3 linked regions of the Diceros bicornis minor genome follow. The protein of the gene in region 1 interacts with the protein of each later gene in a pairwise test. Links are inferred from orthologs where the notes say so. Each region holds a gene or a part of one and is shown in the gene's direction. Other genes may lie near its edges.

Region 1 (7,058 bases):
CCACCAATAGGCAGCGTTTCTTTTTACAGCTTCCACTTTCTGCCTGGATTTTACCTTCCTGTCTCTGTCCCTGCTCCGCCACTTCTTAGCTGTGTGACCTTGGGAATGTTACCCTCTCTGTGCTTTCACTTCCTTACCTGGAGAGAAAGAAAAAAGGCAAGGGGATGTTAAGATCTATCTCTGGAGGCCATTACAAATATTAAATAACTTAACTTAAAATTTAAGATTAAATAAAATTAATTATAATTTAAACATTAAATTTTGCAGATATGGATTAGTGCTGAGAATAATACTTGGGCCCTCGGAGGTTCTACCTTTCCATCCCCTTACCAATGTAACATTTATTGTTTACTGACAAAGAAAAAGAACATTTATTATGTAATTCTTTAAAAATTAAAATACAATTCTTTCTAGCAAGATACTGATTTTGCACCTGTTTGTCACTTTCTAGCAGTCAGATTGTGGATTGTGGTTTATGATGCTCTGGTTTTGCTGTCACTGCTGAGAATTCATTTCTTTCTTTCTCCCAGCTTCAATAGTTCAAACCAAAGAGGGCTCTTGGTTTCATGCTTTAAATTTTGCCCACAGAGAATCAGAGATGCTCACTTTCTGTGGATGGCCCATGTCTATGGAATTCCTTGCTCTCCCTGACTTTCTGGGATACCTGTTTCCTGACCCAGAGAGCACAGTGTTCTTTTAAACTGTTGTCTTATTGATTTGCCCACATGCTTTTTATATTTGTCCCCAGAGGACATTTGTATCTTCAAGGAAAACACTTTTAAAATGGAGTAAAGAAAGAAATGTGGGCTCATTGAGAATTACTTCTGTGTCAGGGAACCGAGGTTGGGAGCAGAGTGTCAGCACCTTGCTTAGGCTTGAGGGCTGTATCGGGCCAAGGCTGGAGCTGGCGGTGTCCCTGGTTCACTGAAGGCAGGCCTGGAAGAAGACAGAGAAGGAGAAAAAGAATGTGGGAGACACAAGGAAGTGGGAGGATGAAGATAGTGAGTGTGACATGAAGAGAACAGAAGAGCAGTGTGGTGGGAAACAAAAGCACACACTGCTATAGGTGTGTGTATCTGGATAGGAGTATACGGACATGGGGAAAGGAGTGGAGAGACCTGCACCAGGATGTTAGCGTGTCTTGGGCTAAGGGAAGAAGGGGCAAATAAAAAGAAAAAAAACTGACAAAAAGCCAGCTTATAGGAAATGATCTCATTTAAGTAAAAAATACATGCTTATGTAATAGATGCAAAAGAAATGAAAGGAAAAGAGAGCTCTATCAGCTGAGTTTTTAGGGATGTCCATGATAGGCTGTCAAGTGAAAAATTAAGTTAGAAAAGTTGGGAGCTGGGATGGAGAGGAACATGGAGGTAACTGCAATTTATTGGTGATTTCTCAGTCCTTGGTTCTAGGTGTTCATTATGTTATTTTGCTTTATAACATACATTTGTGTGTATATATATATATGTATATGTATTATGTATACATGAATGTATATACATGTATGAATACACAAATATTCTTTTTTTTTTTTTTTTTTTTTTTTTTTTTTTTTTTTTTTTTTTTTTTGGTGAGGAGATCAGCCCTGAGCTAACATCCGCCAATCCTCCTCTTTTTTTGCTGAGGAAGACGGCCCTGGGCTAACATCTGTGCCTATCTTCCTCCACTTTATATGGGACGCCGCCACAGCATGGCTTACCAAGCAGTGCGTCGGTGCGCGCCCGGGATCCGAACCAGCGAACCCCGGGCCGCCGCAGCGGAGCGCGCGCACTTAACCGCTTGCGCCACCGGGCCGGCCCCCTTCTTTTTTTTTTTTAAAGATTTTATTTATTTATTTTTCCCCCAAAGCCCCAGTAGATAGTTGTATGTCGTAGTTGCACATCCTTCCAGCCGCTGCATGTGGGACGCAGCCTCAGCATGGCCGGAGAAGCGGTGCGTCGGCGCTCGCCCGGGATCCGAACCCGGGCCGCCAACAGCGGAGCGCGCGCACTCAACCGCCAAGCCACAGGGACAGCCCACAAATATTCTTTTGAATGTATGAAATAATATATTAAACAATGATGAAGAGAAGACAAGCAGGTTGCCACGTAACTTATTTCAGTGGAAACGTGACAAGAGCCTCCCACGTAATGTGCATCTCAGTACTCGCATATTTTGTATGAATGAGGGGGAAGGTGTGGAAGGCTGTTAACTTTGAATCCCCATTGGGGGAATTGCGGACGGAGCGGAACCTTGTTCCTTTTAAACTCTCCCATCCCTGGTGCCTAATAAAATGTATTCACAGTAGTGGATAAAACAATGTTAGCCTTGAATTGAGAGGTTTAGGGATGATCTGTGAGTCTACTTTCATAGAAATTTAAATACTATGTTAGATTTTAAGCCCTATGAGAGTAAAAATAACATTGTTCTTCATCATTCATTCATTCATTCATTCATGCTACAAATACATATTAAGTGCCTAACACACATGCTAGGTGTTAAACGATATTTTCTTTAGTGTCTAGCACATCTGATTTTTTTTTTTTAAAGTGAAAATATGGGATATGATAAAAGGTCATTATAGAAGGAGGTCGGAAAGGCTAGTAGGTCGGGAAGGCTTCCTGGAGGAAGTGGTACTTATGCTGCAAACTGATGAATACAAAGGGGTTAGTTGAGTAACGTTGAGGGAAGAGTCCGCATTCTATGCAGATGGAAGAGTACGAGCAAAGCCCCCCCGAAGCAGGGAGGAAGGAACATGGTAATATGAAGAATGAGGCCAGTGTGGCTGCAGCCTAGAGAGGAAGAGGGTGAGTAGTGAGGATGAGGCTGGAAAGGTGTGTATGGGCTGGATCATGCAGGCCCTGAAGGCTGGGATAGAATTTTCCTCCAGCTTTTTATTTTGAAAAATTTCAAACTTATAGAACAGTTGTAGGTATAGTAGAATGGATCACCTAGATTTTCAAATTATCATTTGGCACAGTTGCATTTTCTCTCTCTCTCTTTCATATGCATCCCCACCCACCCCCCGACACACATATTTTTCTCTTTGTTGAACCACTGGAGAGTAAGTTACAGACAACATGTCATTAAAAGACATGTCATGTTTAAAAGCATGTATCTTCCAAGAACAAAGATTATCTGATATAATCACAATAGTATTATACACCCAAGAAAGTTAACATTGATAAAATACCTTTACCTAAAATACAATCCATATAGAAACCTGTAATTGTCCCAATAATATCCTTTGCTAATTTTTTGTAAAATCAAAGATCCAGTCAAGGATCACGCATCATTCGTAGATATCTGTTAGCATTTTGGAGGCAAGTTTAGGCCAGTTATTTTAAATTTGTCTGATTATTTCCTCATGATTAAATTCGGGTTGAACATTCATAGCGAGAATACTGCATAGGTGATATAGGTGCTGAGGACTGCCTACATCAGGAGCACGTGGTGTCAGTTTCCACTAGTGACATGGTAAATTTGATCACTTAGTTAAGGTGGTGCCTACCAGCTTTCTCCATTGTAAAGATAAAATTTTTCTTTTGTAAGAAATAAAGTAATCTGGAGGATGGTACCTTATGATTCCATGAATATCCTGTTCCCCAAACAACCTTTCAACCAGTATTTTTCAACCATTGGTGTCCCTTGCCCAAGATAATTATTACTCTGGTGACTACAAAATGATGCTTTTTCTAATTCTATAATTTTTCCTGTATTAGTTGATATTCTGTAAAGAAGAGCCTTCTTTTCTCCTCCACCCTTTTTAATCAGTCTTGGTATGAACTTGTAGGTTTTTAAAATTTAATTTTAAGATTTACTATGTTTTCATAATCTATTTCTAACATGAATCATTTTGATGTTCCAATTTTCCCATATTTGGCCAGCAGGAGCCCCTATCTGAAAGGTTTTTGAGAAATATGTGGATAGAGTGAATTAAATAATATTATGAAAGTGATTGTAATCTGTGTTTACTATGATTTTTTCTCCTGAGAATCTCTGTCGATCTAATCTGATTTATTTTTATTTCTCTCTAGGTCTCATGGACTAATTGGCTCTCATTCAGCAGGAACCTAGCAGATCAGTCATCCTGCTGTATGCCAAGACAATGCTTGGTTTTAAAACTGCTCTGAAAATGATTGTAGCAGTGTCGCAATGTGACATTGTCAGGGGGCAACAGGCAGCTTGAGAATTTCCTATTAATCAAATAGCAGCTTGAAGGAAGCCCCTTTCCATTAAGTAGGACTGCATGGCAAGCAGCCCCCACTGAAGGGTTGAAAATGAGCGTCCCAGTGGCTCCTAAGAAATCATGTTACACTCAGTTGCGGGACAACCGAAATGGAGTGAAAAATAATAACGAGAGTATCCTAAGTCTGGGGGATACCAATGCCAATCAAATCACATTGGAGGTCAGTTCCTCTCATGATGAGTCTGAGACATGTGACCTGAGAGATGAAGTTGGAAATGCAAATACAAGTGAGCCAGGAAATGGCACCCATTTCAATAAGGAATTTCACCAACTTCAGGGCATTGGGAAAGGATCTCACGCCGGCCCCACCAGCCTGAAAGATTTTAAGTTTTCTCCAACCGTTCCTAGAGAACTAAATGAAGAGCACACAATGGAGAGAGGCACACATATCCCGCAGACCCCTCGGAGTATTCAGGGACCAAGCCTGTCAAGTTGGAGGAATGTTATGGGTGAGTCCAGTCCAGAGGTTTTGGCTAAAAGGGATGTTGAAATTCCCCGGCCTGTTCCCAAGGATAAATTGGCAAAGACCCTTGACAATGAGGAATTGAGAAGGCATTCTTTAGAAAGAGCAAGCAGCTCTGCTCTTGCAGTGGACGTGCTCACAAAGGAGCGTGTTGGGAGCCTGACTCGGCAGTTTCTGCAGCCTGCACCGCTGGACTCCCCTGAAGCCCCCTGTCATGTGCCCAGCGGTGGGGAGGGGCCACAGAGGACATTGACAGCCCACTCTCTAGGGGCAGCTTTGCTTCCAGCTGACAATACCTCAGAGGGCAAGAGTTTGCGTCGTCCTAAATCATCTACCTCAGAAACCAAGGAGGCCACCCCCTCAGAGACCCAGATGGAGGGGGCACACGTACCGAAAGTTAGTGACAAGAGCACATCACGTTCTGCCCACCCAGAGCGTGCTCTGAATTCAACTTCAGCATCAAAGGAAGTCCTGAGTAAGCCAGAAGCACAATTAGGTCAGGGAAAGGCAGAGTCCAGGCCGGAGCTGAAATTTGTCCAACCCAGGGCCGTGCAGGAATTAAAGTCAACCCAGGCGGAGGGTCTGGGATGTCCTGAGGAGGATAGTATGTTGTCCCTAGAGAGAAAGGGGCCATGTGGGGAAGCACAGCAAGAAGCCACCGCTGGTACACTGAGCAGTCTGTCACATGGCAGTCTCCACCACGTTGGCGTGGGAAGAGGCAGGAGTGGTGAGCAGGAGAAGAGAGCAGTCAGCCTGGGTGAGGAGGGATTTCTTCAAACAACCCCCCAACAGAGCCCCGATTCCTTGGGAGCTGCTGATAATCAGCCCACTGGCAAAAATTCACCAAGTGCAGCTAGGAAATTGGGTGAAATGGCATCCAGCAGCATCTCACCAGGTGATGGTCATGTAGATTTTATTCCTAAAGATCCAACTGACAGCAGGCCCTTGGATGTGAGTGAGGGGAGAGAGGTGCTGGGCAGTGGGACCAGGGACAGTGCTACGGTTTCCACTTCAGATGCTTTGATTGGAGAGAGCAGAACTGAGGTCCCTGAGCCCCTTGACCCTCAAAGCAGCAGCTCAGAAGCAGGGGAAAGCAAAGAGATCATTACATCTGTTGCCAAAAGTAGGAACCGTCTAGAAAATGCAGTTAAGACTGAAAGTACCCCAGCAAGTACAGATTCTCCTCTCAATGTCCCAGCACCCCTCCACCCAGAGACAACTGTGAATGTGACCCACCAGCCTACACCACCCAGTAGCAGTTTTCAGGACTTCGGTGTGTTGAGTGTAGACACGGGGTCACCCTCGGCTGCCCCACCTCCCACCGACAGTGCGCGGTTGTTGACCCCTTCCCCGAAAGTGCCTGACAAGGACACCTGCCCCACTGGGATCCCCAAGCCTGTCGTCGTACGTTCCGAGGATGTACCTTTCTCACAGGAGGGAAAGGAGAACTACCAGGTTGAAAAAACAGAGGAAAGGACAGAGCCCAAGCCCGTCGTCATGCCCAAACCCAAGCACGTGAGGCCTAAGATCATCACCTACATCAGGAGGAATCCTCAGGCCCTTGGCCAGGTGGACACTTCGCTGGTTCCAGTGGGGCTTCCGTACGCTCCGCCCACATGTACCATGCCTCTTCCCCAAGAGGAGAAGGCGGCGAGTGGTGACCTGAAACCGTCTGCCCACCTCTACGAGAAATTCAAGCCAGACCTGCAGAAGCCCAGGGTCTTCAGTTCTGGACTGATGGTGTCCGGGATCAAGCCTCCAGGACACCATTTCAGCCAAATGAGTGAGAAGTTTTTGCAGGAGGTAAGAGAGTGTCATTGTGGTACGAACTATAGGTTGAACATCCTAAAGTTTGTTGTGTATTTTCGATGATTTATGAAAACAGAATATCCTCTCTTAGCAAATTGCAGATTTTGATGGATACACTTGTACAGAAATGGATGTTTTTAAGTAGAGGAGATCATAGACAAATGAACACTTTTGACTAGAAGAGTTTGGCGGTCATAATGAGATGGATTTAACATCTAAGGAGACTTGTTTAAATACCATATAATACATATGAAGTTAGATGTCTGCATTTAAATTGGCTCCTATGTTTAAATAAGTGAGGCTAATTCTTCTATAAGCCAGGTCAATGGAAAAAAAAATCCAAAATAAATATATTGTTCAAATTGATCAGACTTCACCCCCCAAGGGGGAATGTTTTCCTTACGGGAGATTCTCGCGTTCATGCATGTGAAGAACACAGTGAGTAGAAAATGATGTGTTAGGTGTGGGCTCTTTGTTTTAAGTGAGAATAATAATTACAACTGACGTTCGGTTGAGCGCCTGCTGTGCATTGGGCCCACAGAACATGTGTTTAATCTT
Region 2 (7,524 bases), on another chromosome or scaffold:
AGTTAAAAAGACAGGAGTAATTATAAACCATTTCTGGCATGTTCTCTTTAACTAACAGCCTTTTCTCTAGAAACGGTATGTGAATGGTGACTTCTCAAAAGAGTACTCAGTATTAGGAGACAGTCTGGTTCTACTTCTGAATGCAAGAACTTACTAGTTAGTGTTCCTGCAGATTCTAATGGACTGTTCTGGAAATAGTTAAATTGAAATGAAGTTGAAATTCTGATGCATTTATTTTTCCCCCTACCATACACTCATATACTTATTTCTCCTTTTCTCCTGTCATTTCTTATCTTTCTTATTTATTGTTGCTAAAGGAGTCTACTTTTTATTCCTTGGTTTATTTAATTTTTTTCTTCCTTCTTTTTACTGCTACCTTCATACCTTTTGTTTTTATAATCCCGAGTATGCTCTTTTAAAATTGTTTCTAAAGAATAGTTGATTTTCCAATTTTTAATAAATTGGAAATCCATAAAATATCAACATAGAGTACATTTCCTCTCTACTGCTTGGTAATTGGAATCCCATGAACAGCTCTTTTCACATATAATGATATATTAACATGTCAAGTGTTAATACCTCATTCTGGCTTATGTTAAGTTTGACTTTTTTCTCCCAAAAGTACTGGATCATGACCTATTTTATTTTCGTTTTTGGAGAGTGGAAAATTGATTAAGGCTCTGTTTTTCCACATGTTTCCATTATGGAGTTGGCCACAAATAGAATTGACTCCTTTTTGTCACTCTTTTACTATAGTTGGACAAGAAGATAGGTGGGGTGGAGTGGGAGGAAGGAAGGAATCATATGAACTTGTACTTTAAATAGGTAATGGTAGGTCCTTGTCTGACTGGAGAGTAAATTTGACATTTGATTACAGAAAAGCCTCTGAATTTAGGAAGGGGTCACTGGAGAAGAGAAGCATCTCCTAGGAAAGATAGAGAGAGAGGAATTTCTTGGGAAATGGGAGAGAATTCTAATTTGAAGGAAAGTGAAGGATTACCTAGTGATATAATGAAGTATTTGCCACTTCTTAAGTCAAATAAAGATAATTTCCTTTTCTACCCTTTATTTAGGTCCTGGCTTTAGAGGAAAACAGGATATAAAGGTTAAAGGACAAAAATACAGTACTAGGTGGAACATTGGTTGGTAAACAAGGCAATATGTTTACAGAAATTAAACATAAAATTATCATTAAAATATTATTTCTGTAGAATCCTATTCTGTATCCATCAGTGTTCTTTCTGTACTAATTTGTGTCTCAACTTTTTCTAGGTCTTCAGAGCTACTGGAAGATAATTTTTGGGGACTTCATATTCAGAGGTCTATAAAAAGGTGACTGAGCCAAATAAACTCTTTTAATTCATTTTAATTTTTGTATTTTAATGAATGTTAAAATCATATGTTGAGATAATGGTGATCATAATTCACTTAGCAAGTATTTCTTAAACACCCTGTATGTGCCGGACATTGTTCTGGACATTGGAACTACAGTAGAAGATAAAACAAAAATCCCTGACCTCATAGAGTTTATATTCTGGTAGGAAGAGACAGACAAATTAACAAGTGAAAGATATCTTGAAATTGTTCCACCTAGAGACAGAGTTAATTCTTACTACTCTCTCTAGGACGCTCTTCAAACTATGTGATAAATTAATAACTGCTATAACTACTAAGCTTGGTAAACTAAACTATGAGTCCATTATCTTGGTTTATAAAACTGTAGAGTGATTGTAATAAGAAAATATTGCATATAGAACAATCGGTTAAAAGTTCTTCAGTTAACGTTTTAATAGCTACATTTTGCAGAGTGTCATTAGAGGAAGGAACTACTCTCAGGGTTATATGAGAAATTTGGTTTTGTTATCATTTTTTGAATTAAGAAGCCCCAATATTGTGAAAACATTATTTAGAACAAGATGGCCAAGCTGACCTATAATGATTGTCTTCATCAGAAGAGTGGAAGGATCATGTAAAACTAGACAAAAGGAAAATGGAGGAATTCATGAAAGAAATTCATAGTTAACTACTTAGTGTTTCTTAAAGTTATTTATCAACTATCCAAATTAGATGGGTTGGGATTTCATTAAGGAATGTATTAATCGTTTATTCATTCATTAAGCAGCTATTATCTGGAGTAAATTTTTCATCTTTTCCTTTTAAACATTAGCTTAGGTTTATAAGTTTTCTTTTATCTAGAAGCCTACTTTTTTTACGGGCATATAATAGTAATGGCTGTGACAAAGGATTTTTAATGGTGTTGAGTAATTTTTTTTGTCCTTTACTGAAAATATAACACATGATTCAGATTCCTATATTGGTCGGGGGAGGTATGATCATTATCAGACTCTGATCGGGTTATCAAACCAGGCAACCTCTGGGCTTTTTTTCTTTTTATTTCAATTCTACAGTCATACTAAAATTAGAGAAAGAGTTGTAACCAACTATCTCCAATATTTAACTGTGCTCTTTGGGGCTTATTTGATATGTATTTTCTCTTCCATCATTTGTAGATTTTATTTCAATTTCCCAGAGGTTTGGAGGATGTACTGCCTAAATTTCTGTTTGGATATATTGTTAGGGAAAGGAAACATCTGTGTGTAAGATTAGCCCAAAGGCAGAAAGTTATATTAATCACTTCTCTTTTATGAGCTGTGAGGAAGCAATAGATAGGAAGATTTTTTTTCTTTTCATTTCAGTCCCGAGTCTAGCACTATGTCACCTCCAGTTAAGTTGGAATGGGTGTATTGCCACACCCAGATTTGGAGAGTGCTAGATCCGTTGGTGAGATCTAGCTGTTTCAAAGTATAGGTGCCAGGGAAGACTGCTTATAGCAGTTTATAGCTGTTCTGTCATTCTAAAATAGCAACACGAAAGAGTAGTTTATCTTTATGCCTTAAAAATCTTGGCCTGATTCACTGTTTACAATTTATTTTCTTATCCCCATAAATTTGCTTCATATATCAAAATAAGATTCAAGCACCTCACATCATCTACCATTTGAAATTTGCCTTAAATCCCTTGGATTGACTCAATATCATGTACTTTTCATTCCATTTGGGTTTTTTAGTATAAATAATCATTTGACTTTTCTACTGTCTTGTCTTATCATGAATCAGTATATCAATCATGACTCTTTTTGTAGTATTTTTGCAAAAATCTGTATTAACCTGAATCTTTGACATTCACATTTTCTTTCTTCCCTCCCACATAAAATGCTTGTTGTTTGGTCCTTTTAATGGTTTTTTAATGTTAATACAAAACCACTAACGTAAAATCATGCAAAGTACAGTTTTTTCTCTTTGCATCATACCTCCAAATCTCTTAATCTACTTTTGCTTTTTTACACTTCAGTAGTTTGTGAGTCTTTCTGTTCCCAAATTCCACTGGTTGTGGTCACCAGCTCAAGGTATCCTCACTCCTTTTCCATACAAAATTTTCTAATCTTTATCATGGAACGGTACTGTGGTTTATGTTTTTATTCACACCTAGCAGTGGATATTATGTCACAAATATAGTTGTTAAAATAATTGCATCTTCTGGGGCCAGCCTGGTGGGGTAGTAGTTAAGTTCGCACACTCTGCTTCTGTGGCCCGGGGTTCGCAGGTTTGGATCCCCGACATGGACCTACGCACCGCTTATCAAGCCATGCTGTGGCAGGCGTCCCACTTATAAAAGAGAGGAAGATGGGCACGATGTTAGCCCAGGGCCAATCTTCCTCAGCAAAAAGAGGAGGATTGGCAACAGATGTTAGCTCAGGGCTAATCTTCCTCAAAAAAAAAAAAATTGCATCTTCTCCCAAAATTATAGTTAAAATGGTTTAAAAGAAAGGAAAAGAGCATTCTGTGACGAAAGAAGGCAGTAAGAAGCAGCTGTATCCAATCAAATATAAACAAGTTGATCTCTTTTATCATATTTAATTTGGAATTTTATCATTTAATTTACCATTAGCTCCTGGTAAAACTGCATTTATTTGTGGAATAGAAAAAAAAGTTTAAATGAAGATCTTGAATTGTTAAAGAATTTAGTTAAACTATGATATTTCTATTAACCATCCTGTATTTTAAGACTTGTTTCTTAGGTCTTAGCTGCCAGAAAATTTTGTTTGATGAGCATTTGTAGAATGGGGGAAATGTGCTTATTAATGAGCTATGTAGACAATTACTTTCCCTTTATCTGAAAAGAAAAGAAAAATTAAAATAGAAATGAAAAGTAAGCATAACTTTTTCTTCCTCTCTTTGTGGAATATTAATGCATTACAGAGTAAACATAGGACAATGTGTAGATCCCTTGCTGTACTTCTTTTATATTTATCCCTTAAAAGCCTTGTTCAAAAAATGGAAAAATATTCAGTAGCCTTTAGGATAAATTTAAAGAACTCTCTGGTTACTACGTATTTTTCTTTTCTATGGCAGGCTTCCTCATGTCCATAACATGTTGGTTGAGGCTCCGCAGCTCACCCCCACTCTCAGAGTGGCCAGTCTCCATTAATTGGACCCCGTGATTTCTACTTTCTGCTGTGTTGGACGTCATGAGCATTGCAATCCCTCTGGGAGTCACCACACCAGATACATCCTACTCAGATATGGCTGCTGGATCAGAGTAAGTGCTACTTCCTTAGGTAGTAGGTGCATTAGCAGTTTATGTGGAGACAGCTTTCTTATGGGCATCTAATAATAAATTTGTAGTATTTTCTATACCCAAGCCTAGCCCACTATAAATGATATTAGACCTTTCCTTTTCACCCATAGAAGCTGGAGGAAAAAAAGAGTTAGAAGAGAAGAGGGAGGAAAAGAATTTGGGGGACAGGATTTCCGAGTAAATAATTGAGTTAAATTTGTAAAGTAGTGATTACATTTTCGTTAGTTTTGATGGGTGGGGGAGATCGAAATAAAGTAGGTGTCAATACCTGCTTCTGTAGAGTTAATGATTATTCTGATGGATGGAGATAGGGAGGAGTTCTCTCCAACTGATTTTCCTTGAAGGCCTCTTCCTATGTACTTCTCAATGTTCTAGAGTAAAGGGACTGGAACTTTATATGGACAGGTTACTTAGACCTTCTGACATTTGGGGTAGAAAACAGAAAGCAGTGTCATTCTATTTTTTATAATATTCATTGCCTAGAAAGAGGACCTTCAAAATCAGTGGTACCAAACTTTTTTTTCAGCTAAGAGCAGCTTTAGGAATTCAGTTTGTCGAAAAGCCCAATCCCTAAAATAGACTCTCAATTCTTGAAGAATTTAAATGCCAAATGGCAATGAAGGTAGGCCTTCATTATAAAACTTTATATATTATTCACAGTTTTAAAAATTTTAGCTTTTTGTATCCCTTCTCTTTTAAGTTGTCCAAGATTCCCCCTGCTCACAGATTCCCCCTCTTGTCCTTTTACCTCCCTTGTACCCAATCTTCCTTGCTTACAGAAAGGAAGTGGAAGCCCCCTACCTTTCAAGACGAAGTGGCACTACACCAGGATGTGAAAGTCCAGCGAAAGAGACCCAAGGGGCCTAGGGGGCAGCACACCCCCAGAAGCCAAGTCTATTCCAGGCAGTACCAGGGATTAGGGTCTGGGCTGGAAAAATCCTGGTGTTTTGAATATGTTCAGGTCCAGTTCAGACTCTTGATCCCACAGCCACTTCTTGAGTGAGGTGGGTGTTGCTCTAATTGCCCTGTTTCTCTTGCCATTTTCACAATCCCTGGGGATTCTTCCCCCTTCAGCAAAGCAAAGCAACTGTACCAGAACTCTGGGTTCAACTGCATCCCTAATTAATAGTGGTTTTCTTCCTTAAAACTGAGAATGTTAGTAAAGAGCATGTACATTTCTTCAAGGCCTCATAGGATAACTTAACTGTTTGCTGACTTTGTTAAAGAGGAAGACTTAAAATGAAGCTACCCTAAAAAGCAGTATATTATATTCTGGGGTGGTCTAGAATTGAAAGCAGTTTTTGCCCTTATTCCATATAAGAAGAAAGATGGAGGGAGGGGGATGGGGAAGAGTGGATTGTGTTCCTTCCATGGCTTTTTTTCCTGTTTTGTTTTTTTATTTTTTTGCATGCTAAGATTTTAGTTATGCTAGTAGCTGAGACTTCCAATTTTACAACTGTTTCCCTAATAAACTACTGAAAAATCTTCCTGCGTTAGTAGATAACATAGTTTGTATAGTGTTAATGGATTTTTATAAAGTCAACCACTAGCCTCCTATATGGATTAACAAACTATATAGGTAGATAGCATTAACTTTTGTGAGAAATTTCAACAAAAAGATTAAATCAATGAGTTTGAGATTAGTAGATAAGAAAAAGACCTAAAGCAAGTATTCTTAAAACTGGTATTTTTTCCCAATATACAGAGATGATTGCCCATAAATGTTGCTAGGGAGTCCAAAAGTAATTGAAGAAATAAAAAATACTTCTAGCCTAAAAATTTGACTGCAGTGTTTCTATTTCCTGAAATGTTTTAATCTATAATCTCCAAACAGATTTCTGTTACTGTGGTTGTAACTAATTACACAGTTATTCCTTTAGTATTTCTACAAAGCAAGAGAATTCAACAGTTAGCTTTCGTACCAATCTGTTAAATTATAGATAGTATTTGTTAACACTTCACCATGCATATTCCTCTGTCATGCATATTCCACTGTTCTGGGCACTCTTAAGATTAAACCTGGTGTGAAGGGCAACATACCCACCTAAATAGAAGACCTAGACCTTACCTCATGGGATTTTAAATCTGATGACAACTATATGCACTATGCATTTTTTTTTGTATATTTGTAGGAAAACCTCTAGATGTTATAATAGAAGCAAAGATTTTTCTGATTTTACAATACTGCCATAAATGAATTTCAGACATTTTCTAAGAGGTAACATTATAGCAGCAGATTGCATATTGTACTTAGAACACAATTGATGGAGTATATCTGTTGTAAGCATGGCTTCTGTGTACGTACCCGACTGTCATAGCAGTTCAAACATAGGGGAAGAAAGGCTATAAATACTTTTGCATAAAACGATTGGCTAACAAGACATGCAATCCTAACATTCCAAATTTTTAATCCATATTTTAAAATATAGATAAGAGCTGAATATATGTCAAGGAATATCCTAGGAAATCCTGTAGTTACCTGCCAGCATATAACTATGTATTAATCAGTAACCAGTATGGAAATTGCAAAGTTTCCTCATCAAAAGATATGAGTAAATTTTAATATTTGGCATGCATAGCAATGTATAAATGCTGTGCTTGACTAGAAAGTATTATGAAGTGGGATGGCCTTTTAACCTCCACAATATACATTTTATTTTTATTCCCTAGACTTGCACATGAAGTGCATATGTTCATATTTACTCAGTTTGGAGATGGGTAAGATACAACCAACATAGCTCCATCTCCATGGCCATCTTTTATTTCATGCCACTTTCCTTTTTCCCGTCCAAAAATAAATCCATTCCTAATAAACAGCTATCATGTTTCACCCCATGTGTTTAATGGTACAAAATCTCTTATATAAAATATGTACAGCTCTTTGGG
Region 3 (7,102 bases), on another chromosome or scaffold:
GAATAATAGGAAATGTCTGCAGCTTGCAGGGTGGGAGCCAGACAACAGGGTACGAAGGAAGAAGGAAAGAGAGGACTTGGAGGCAATTCCATAGTAAACGAAAGCTCATCCTGTCGTCTTCTCCTTCAGTTTAGGAGATGGGCCGGCCCTGGCCTCACCTTAAAGTGTGTGTGTGTTATTTATCGGGATGAGGGGAAAAATCAACCTAATTTTTAGAAATGAGTAGGCTTTTGTATCATGGCCTTGGATCACGTGTTTGCCAGGAGACTTTATGGGGTAAAACAAGAAAGGGGGGACTAGATTCAATTGCCACCCGCAAGCCTCATGGGGCATACAGGTCTCTGACTGCTCTAGAGCCTGAGTCTTCCCACCTGTAAAATGGGGCGATAGCATGTGACGCACCTCACAGGTTGTGCCAAGGATCAAATGAAGACAGACATTTCACATACTGGAGAGTCTTCTAGAATGTCACTGTCTCTGCCTTTAAGCACCACTGGCGAGCGGGTATGACTCAGTTACATAAACAAAGAAAAGCCCAGGGCACTGGGTAGGCTTCCATGTAGAGAAATTTATAGTGGTTTCAGGGGAGACTCCGAGTCTCAAGGCCCCACTAGACTCACCCCAGATTGGACAGCGGGGATCATGACAGCTGACGAGACAGAGGCTGGAGCTAAGCTCAGGCAAGGGGGGCCTCAGAGGGGAACCGGTTGCAGGGCACTGCCCTGAGCCTTCTCCATTCCAGGCCAGAGGAGAAGATGAGTCTTTATCCACAAAATGCCCTCACAGGCATGCACAGTGGTGTCAGGAAGGGACACAGCTTTCAAGTTTGCAAAGTCCCCAAAGCTGCTGCCCAGGTGCCTCTGCTCTGATAAGAGACGAGCAGGTGGCTGGGGGTGGCCAGTCCAGCAGGTTCTTTGATGCAGCCTTCCTCTTCCTTAGTCCCAGCGGCCTTTTAAGTTTATCCGAGTGCCCTTCAGAGCTCCTGGGCCGGATGCCCTTCCCTAACGGCAGTGCATGCACGCGCCTCTGCTCTGCCCGCAGTCTGCAGGCCGGAATTTGGGTTTGGTTCGGTCCGTGGCAGGCCCCTCAACAGAACACATTTAGGAACCTCTGCTGAAAGGGATCCGTGCACAGTGGCAGTCACCCCTGAAGTGACGCAGCCAGTCCGCCTCTCAGAGCCATCAGCCAGGAGGGCACGCATCCGCCGACCACAGCTAAGTTCAGAGGCGAAGAAAGGGCCCCAGGGCCGCTTGGGTTCACGTGTCCGACCCGTCACAGGGGCTGAAGAGGCAATGAGTCACGTTGGACCTCACTTCTCCTTGCCTTGAAAGTTGTGGTTTCAAATGTCTGGACTCCCTCCCCTCCTCCTGCCGACTGAGTTGCTCCTATGTCAGAGAAATACTATGCCACAACGTGTCAGCTCTGGATGTCCCATGCGTTACCAGCCGGAAAACGTCACCCTCCCTCTCTGTAGCCTGCATTTCACGGGGATGAATGCTGCCTGCCTTCCCTCCATCTGTCTGACCCTTGCTGGAGGCCCAGCTCCAGAGTTTGCAAGGCCCGGAGTAAAATGAAAACGTGGGGCCCTGTTCAGTGCAGCATTACACCAGGAGCGGGGACCTCTGAGCTCGGGGCCCTGTGCGACTGCAGGGGTCACATGCCCGAGAAGCTGGCCCTGCCTGTCCTAATACCTTCTACACGAGGCAGACCTCTTCTAAGAACCCCAGGGCATCTTCAGAGCATCCAGGTCTCCCAACACTGCGAGAATGGCAAAGCTTGTATGCAGCGCATTTTCACCCCATATCAAGCGCACCCGGAGTCCACGGCCCAGTCGTCAGAGGCGAGGCCTAGCACGAGCCCTCCCCCTCCCGGCCTCCTGTTTCCCATGTTGTAAAACACGGGGTTGGACTTTGCACCTTCTGGGCCCTGACAGTCTATAGGTACTTGGGTGTCCCCACAAGATTTGTTACCCTGCAATACTGTGACCACTCTCGTCATTCTTCAGCAACATGAGCTTCTAGATTTTTCTCTAGAGACCAAAAACCCACCTCTTAGGCAGACATCCCGCCTGGATGACATCACAGGGACAATCCTGCAGGCTTTCTCCTCACTCCTCTCCACAAGGCCGATTCACCTTAGACATGGAGGAGAGGGCTGACGTGAGAAGGGGAAGGTCCAGCCGGCAACTCCTTTCGAAGCCACGCCGTTTACACCCAGAGTGAAGCTTTGAGGCCAGGCCCAGGACACCCGTTCCAGCAAACCAGTCCCTACAGCTCAAACCTGAGTGTTTTCTCACAGGCTCAGGTGGCAGCCGGGTCCCACCCCATCCACCTCCTAACGATGAGCTGACTGGCCCTAAGGGTTTTCAGGAGCTGACTTCCTGAGAAGATAAAAGACACATCAGTGGATAGAGCCCGTGTCTACACTTTACCTCAGCGATAGCTTTTTAAGAACAAGACTAGGGGGGCCGGCCCCATGGCGTAGAGGTTAAACGCGCGCTCTGCTACTGGCGGCCCGGGTTCGGATCCCGGGCGCGCACCGACGCATCGCTTGTCAGGCCATGCTGTGGTGGCAGTGTCCCATATAAAGTGGAGGAAGATGGGCACAGATGTTAGCCCAGGGCCAGTCTTCCTCAGCAAAAAGAGGAGGATTGGCATGGATGTTAGCTCAGGGCTGATGTTCCTCATAAAAAAAAAATAATAAATCAATAAAAAATAAATAAAAATAAATAAAAAAAAAAAGAACAAGACTAGGGGCCAGCCCAGCGGTGTAGTGGTAAAGTTCACGTGCTCTGCTTTGGGGGCGTGGGGTTCGCAGGTTCAGATCCCAGGCACGGACCTAGGCACCACTCATCAAGCCATGCTGTGGCAGGCAACCCACATATAAAGTAGAGGAAGATGGGCACAGATGTTAGTTCAGGGCTAATCTTCCTCAGCAAAAAGAAGAGGATTGGCAACAAATGTTAGCTCAGGGCTAATCTTCCTCACCAAAAAAAAAAAAAAAAAAAGAACAAGACTAACACTTCTGGGCTGATAAAGCAATGCCAGGCCTTTGCTTCTAAAGCCTCACTCTGCTCTGACAAGCACTGCCAGACAGGCTTCCCAGCCCTGCTAGGATTCTGTGGTCACCTCAGTGCTTCCAAAGGTGGTCATGGAAATTGCTGGAAGTCCACGGGGCAGCCACTTTGATTTCTGACTGCCAGCCTGGCACAGGCGGAGGGAGGGGCCGCAGGAAGGTGCCGAGTGCCCACTGAGTTCATCTTAGGACCCTACAGCAAAGGCCTGCGGGAGCCCTAGAACAAAACGCCTGGACCCTTGTCTTACAAGAAAAGGAAAGCCATTTTGTTGGGCAGGAGGAGGGGAGAAATCTTGTTAGGAAACCAAGGCGTGGGGGTCCCACTTCTGCTTTCAGTTCCCCATTTGACTATGAAGAGCTTTGTTAGCAAGAAACCTTTTCCAGCTCTTTGGAAGTTGGAATGTAGAAGTAAAGATTTATGTGCCAAGTGTAACTTTCTTTAGGGGCATTTTCTAGGGGCACCTCACCTTCCCTTTCTGTGAAGGGTACTCATCTATCCAGAAAGCGCCTGGGCCTTTGGGAAATAGGGTTCAGAAAGCCAGGCCAGGGCACAATTCTGTGGGACAGCTCAGGACTTGGGGAGATCCCTGCCCGTTCCTAGGGAGGCCTGGGCCCAGGTGGGATGCGGGGACAGGTGGCACCTCTCCAGGGCCGAGGGTCCAGAGAATCCAAGGCTGGCAGGGCCATTCAGACCCTGCAGCCCCCACCTCCTGCCCCAGGGCTCCTGAAGGTCTGACGATGATGCACTCAGTCAAGCCACCAAGCCACGTGGCTAGTGGCTAGTGGCTAGTGGCTAGTGGTGGGTCGGGTCTGGGGTCTGGCTCCAAGGCCTGGTGCGTGACCCCGAGTTCAGGCGCCCCCCGCCCAAAGGCGGAAACGGAGGCCCGGGCCGGCGGCTCCCTCGGGGCTGGCCCTGCGGCGGTCGGCCGGGGCGTGGCCGGGGTCACCGGGGGCAGGAGCGGGCGGCCCCGCCCCGGGGGTGTGTCCGGGCACCGGCGCCGCCACCTTAAGGGCCGGGCGGGGCCAGGTCCAGAGTGCGAGGGCCGGCGGGGCACGGGCTGGAGCGGAGGGGCCCGGGAGATCCGAATCGGGACCCGGATCAGGACTCGGATCAGAACCCGGAGCGGGATCCGAATCGGGACCCGGATCAGGACCCGGCGAGGGAGCCATGGTGTCGTCCAGGCCCGCGCGGCTGCTGCTGCTGCTCGTGCTGCTGGCGGGCTCGGCGCGGGCCAACCTCTACTTCCGCCGGGGCCAGAGCTGCTACCGGCCCCTGCGGGGGGACCAGCTGTCCAAGTTGGGGCGCAGGTCCGGCTGGCTTGGGGGGCTGGCCCATCTCCCGGGGCTTGGCGCGCACTCCCGCCCCCTTGGGGTGCCGGGAACCCAGGCCCCTGCCTCTCTGACCTTTGAGGGTGGAATCCAGCCCCTGTGATTGGGGAGTCCCTCTTGCTCTTTGGCATCCAAGGGAGCGCTGGTGTTGGTGGTTGGACAAGCCCCTCCTGTGCCGGGAGCAGGCCGGCCCACCTCCCTGGCCTTTGGGGCTTTGCTTGGGGAGCAGTGTGGTTCCTGCATTTCCGGGGGCCCCTGCCTCCTTCAATTCTGAGAAGGCGGGGTCTCCCAGTGTGACATGGGTTCACCTAGTGATGAAAGTGTTCACCCCCATTCCCTTTCATTCTGGGGAGGGGAGAGGGCACCAGGAGCCTCAGTGATGATTCTGGGGGTGGTGGTCTCTTCCCAGGACATACCCCCGGCCTCACGAGTACCTGTCCCCATTGGATCTGCCCAAGAGCTGGGACTGGCGCAACGTGGATGGCGTCAACTATGTCAGTGTCACCAGGAACCAACACATCCCCCAGTACTGCGGCTCCTGCTGGGCCCACGGCAGCACCAGCGCCATGGCGGGTAGGTGGAGGGCCCTTGGCTCCACAAGGAGGCCAGGAAGCCTCCTTGTCAGGGTCCCAGGGACCTGTGATTCCATGCCAGGACATTCAGCCTGGGATGGGGGCATCTGAGCCTCTCAGGACTAGGGGAGCTGACCTGTGCCCTCTGCTGCCCCTCACCATCGAGGAAAGGCTGAAGGGACACAGGCTAGACAATGTCTCCGCTGTGCAGGGTGGGCGTGGCTGGGGCCTGTGGGTGGCAGGCAGGACTAGGACTGAAGCCCAGTGACAAGTGGCTCCCAGATGCCTTCTGTCTCCCAGAGCTTGTGACCCCGGCCATTTGGGATGGAACCAGAAATTTAACTCACCGAACCCCCTGCTGGTGTTTGGGGGCGTGGAGGTGAAGCTGCTGTTCAGCAGCAGTCAATATGTGAGGGGAAGGCCTGTCCTGGGCTTGGAGTATTGAGTGGGGCTGGCCAGTTTTCTCAGCAGGACCTTAGCCAGCTGGCCACGGTGAGGGCGGGAAGGCTTGTGGCGAGGAAGGAGGGGGACGCTGAGGTCCTTACTGCTTGAGAAGGCTGCTGGGCCTTGCCTTGAGGAGAGGAGGGAGAAGAAGAGACTTCAAACCATCCTTGGGGCCTTCATTCAGCCCCACGCCTGCCTGGTACATGTGGGAGGGGCTCTGCCATCTCCAGGGGGAGCCCAGGGTTCCAGAAGCCTGCACTGGAATTCCATTGGAGAAGGGACTCTCTAACTGGGAGTCTGGCCTTGGGAGGCCTTGGGTGCATTGCCTCCTGCCTGACTTGGGTATCTCACGGGGCAGTCTTGCTGTAGGTGTGGCATTGTGTTAAACGGATTAACAGCCACGTGGCTACTGCTGCTTGCCAAGGCTCGGTGGCATCATCGCCCTTGTCTGTGCCTCTTCTCATTTAAGCCTCCCAGCTGCACTGTGGTTGCTCCCAGTTTGCAGATGAGGAAACAGACACTCTGGTAGGAAGGTCAGGAGACTTTGCCATGGTGTGAGTGACAGCCGAGAGTAGAACCCAGAAGCCTGGGCTTTGGGCCAGGACCTCTGCTGGGCTGTCTTTAGGACGAGGAGTGGAGTCTGGACCCCAGAGCCAGCTAGCTGGGGCATCTGGGGCATCTGATGGGGTCTCCCTGGTGGCCCTGCCCTGTCTCTCTCTTCTGACTCTGCAGGTGGTCTGAGGCTCTGGTTCAAGGTACTGGAGCCCTTGCTGGCGGCTGAGAAGGCCCTCTGACTGGAGTGGAGATGGACAAGGCCCTGGAGAAGGGGGAGCCAGAGGCTTAACCACTGGAGCCACTGGGAGACCTTGGGCCAAGCGGGCAGGCAGGGTGTGGGCAGGCCTTGAGGCCGAAGTTCAGGGCAAAGGCTGGGGCAGGAGTGGAGCTGGCTTTGAGGAACTGAAAGAGGGCCTTTGTGGTGGGGCCCTAAGGGTGGGGGAGGGGGAGCTGAAAAGGTCTTGGGGAGGGGAGGGGCCTGGCAGAAGCCTTGAGGGATCTCAGAGGAGGAGTCACGTGCTAAGACTGCATTTGTAAAAGACTGCAGGGCGGGGAGTGGAGGGGCTGGCTGGAGGTGGGCCCTTGATGTGCTCCCTCTTCAAACAGGTCTTGGCTGGGAGGGTTAACCCTGCCACATTTCTGGAGTGGAATCTCTCTCCTGGGCAGACGACTGCTTTTGCCTCTTTCTCCCTAACCTTCTGACACCTTCCACAGCGGCAGGTCCCTTCTTCCTCTTTCGCTGAGAAAATAGAAGCCCCCAGAAGGGGACTTCCACAGGCGCGGGCCCAGCTGGCCGTAGTTTGCCTTCCTTCCTGTCCAAGCCCCTCGTTCACTGTGAACAAATGAGCAGGGGCCTCGACGCCACCCCACCTCAAGCCACCACCCCACTTCTGGGCTCCTCTCCTCTGTCCTTGAACCACTCCACCGGCCCCGCCCTTGCCAAGGTCGCTGGCCACCATGCAGGCAGGTCCAGTGCCAGCTCCCAGGCCTCACCCCGCTTGGTCGAGCTTGCCCAGCTCTCCAGACGCCTTCCTGGCCTTCCACCACACGGCCGGGTCTCCTTCTTCCTCCCTGGACGTTCCTTCCAGCTCCTTGGCCAGCTCCTCATCCTCTCAACTTCCCAACAT

The links.
Region 2: the proteins of MTUS2 (region 1) and SETD5 interact in binary tests that used the Homo sapiens proteins (3 or more experiments, as listed by UniProt). The link is inferred for Diceros bicornis minor from reciprocal best matches to the Homo sapiens genes MTUS2 and SETD5.
Region 3: the proteins of MTUS2 (region 1) and CTSZ interact in binary tests that used the Homo sapiens proteins (3 or more experiments, as listed by UniProt). The two-hybrid records come from large-scale screens. The link is inferred for Diceros bicornis minor from reciprocal best matches to the Homo sapiens genes MTUS2 and CTSZ.

The regions. Positions count from the first base shown.
Region 1 is NC_080748.1:12,171,045-12,178,102, forward strand, and holds the start of MTUS2 (microtubule-associated tumor suppressor candidate 2), read left to right. Parts: upstream 1-4,037; 5' UTR 4,038-4,259; coding exon 4,260-6,494; intron 6,495-7,058. UniProt on the Homo sapiens protein: Binds microtubules. Together with MAPRE1 may target the microtubule depolymerase KIF2C to the plus-end of microtubules. May regulate the dynamics of microtubules at their growing distal tip.
Region 2 is NC_080741.1:82,473,312-82,480,835, forward strand, and holds the start of SETD5 (histone-lysine N-methyltransferase SETD5), read left to right. Parts: upstream 1-4,518; 5' UTR 4,519-4,528; coding exon of another isoform or gene 4,529-4,599; intron 4,600-5,417; 5' UTR 5,418-5,642; intron 5,643-7,524.
Region 3 is NC_080758.1:4,674,469-4,681,570, forward strand, and holds the start of CTSZ (cathepsin Z), read left to right. Parts: upstream 1-4,096; 5' UTR 4,097-4,243; coding exon 4,244-4,383; intron 4,384-4,813; coding exon 4,814-4,977; intron 4,978-7,102. UniProt on the Homo sapiens protein: Exhibits carboxy-monopeptidase as well as carboxy-dipeptidase activity. Capable of producing kinin potentiating peptides.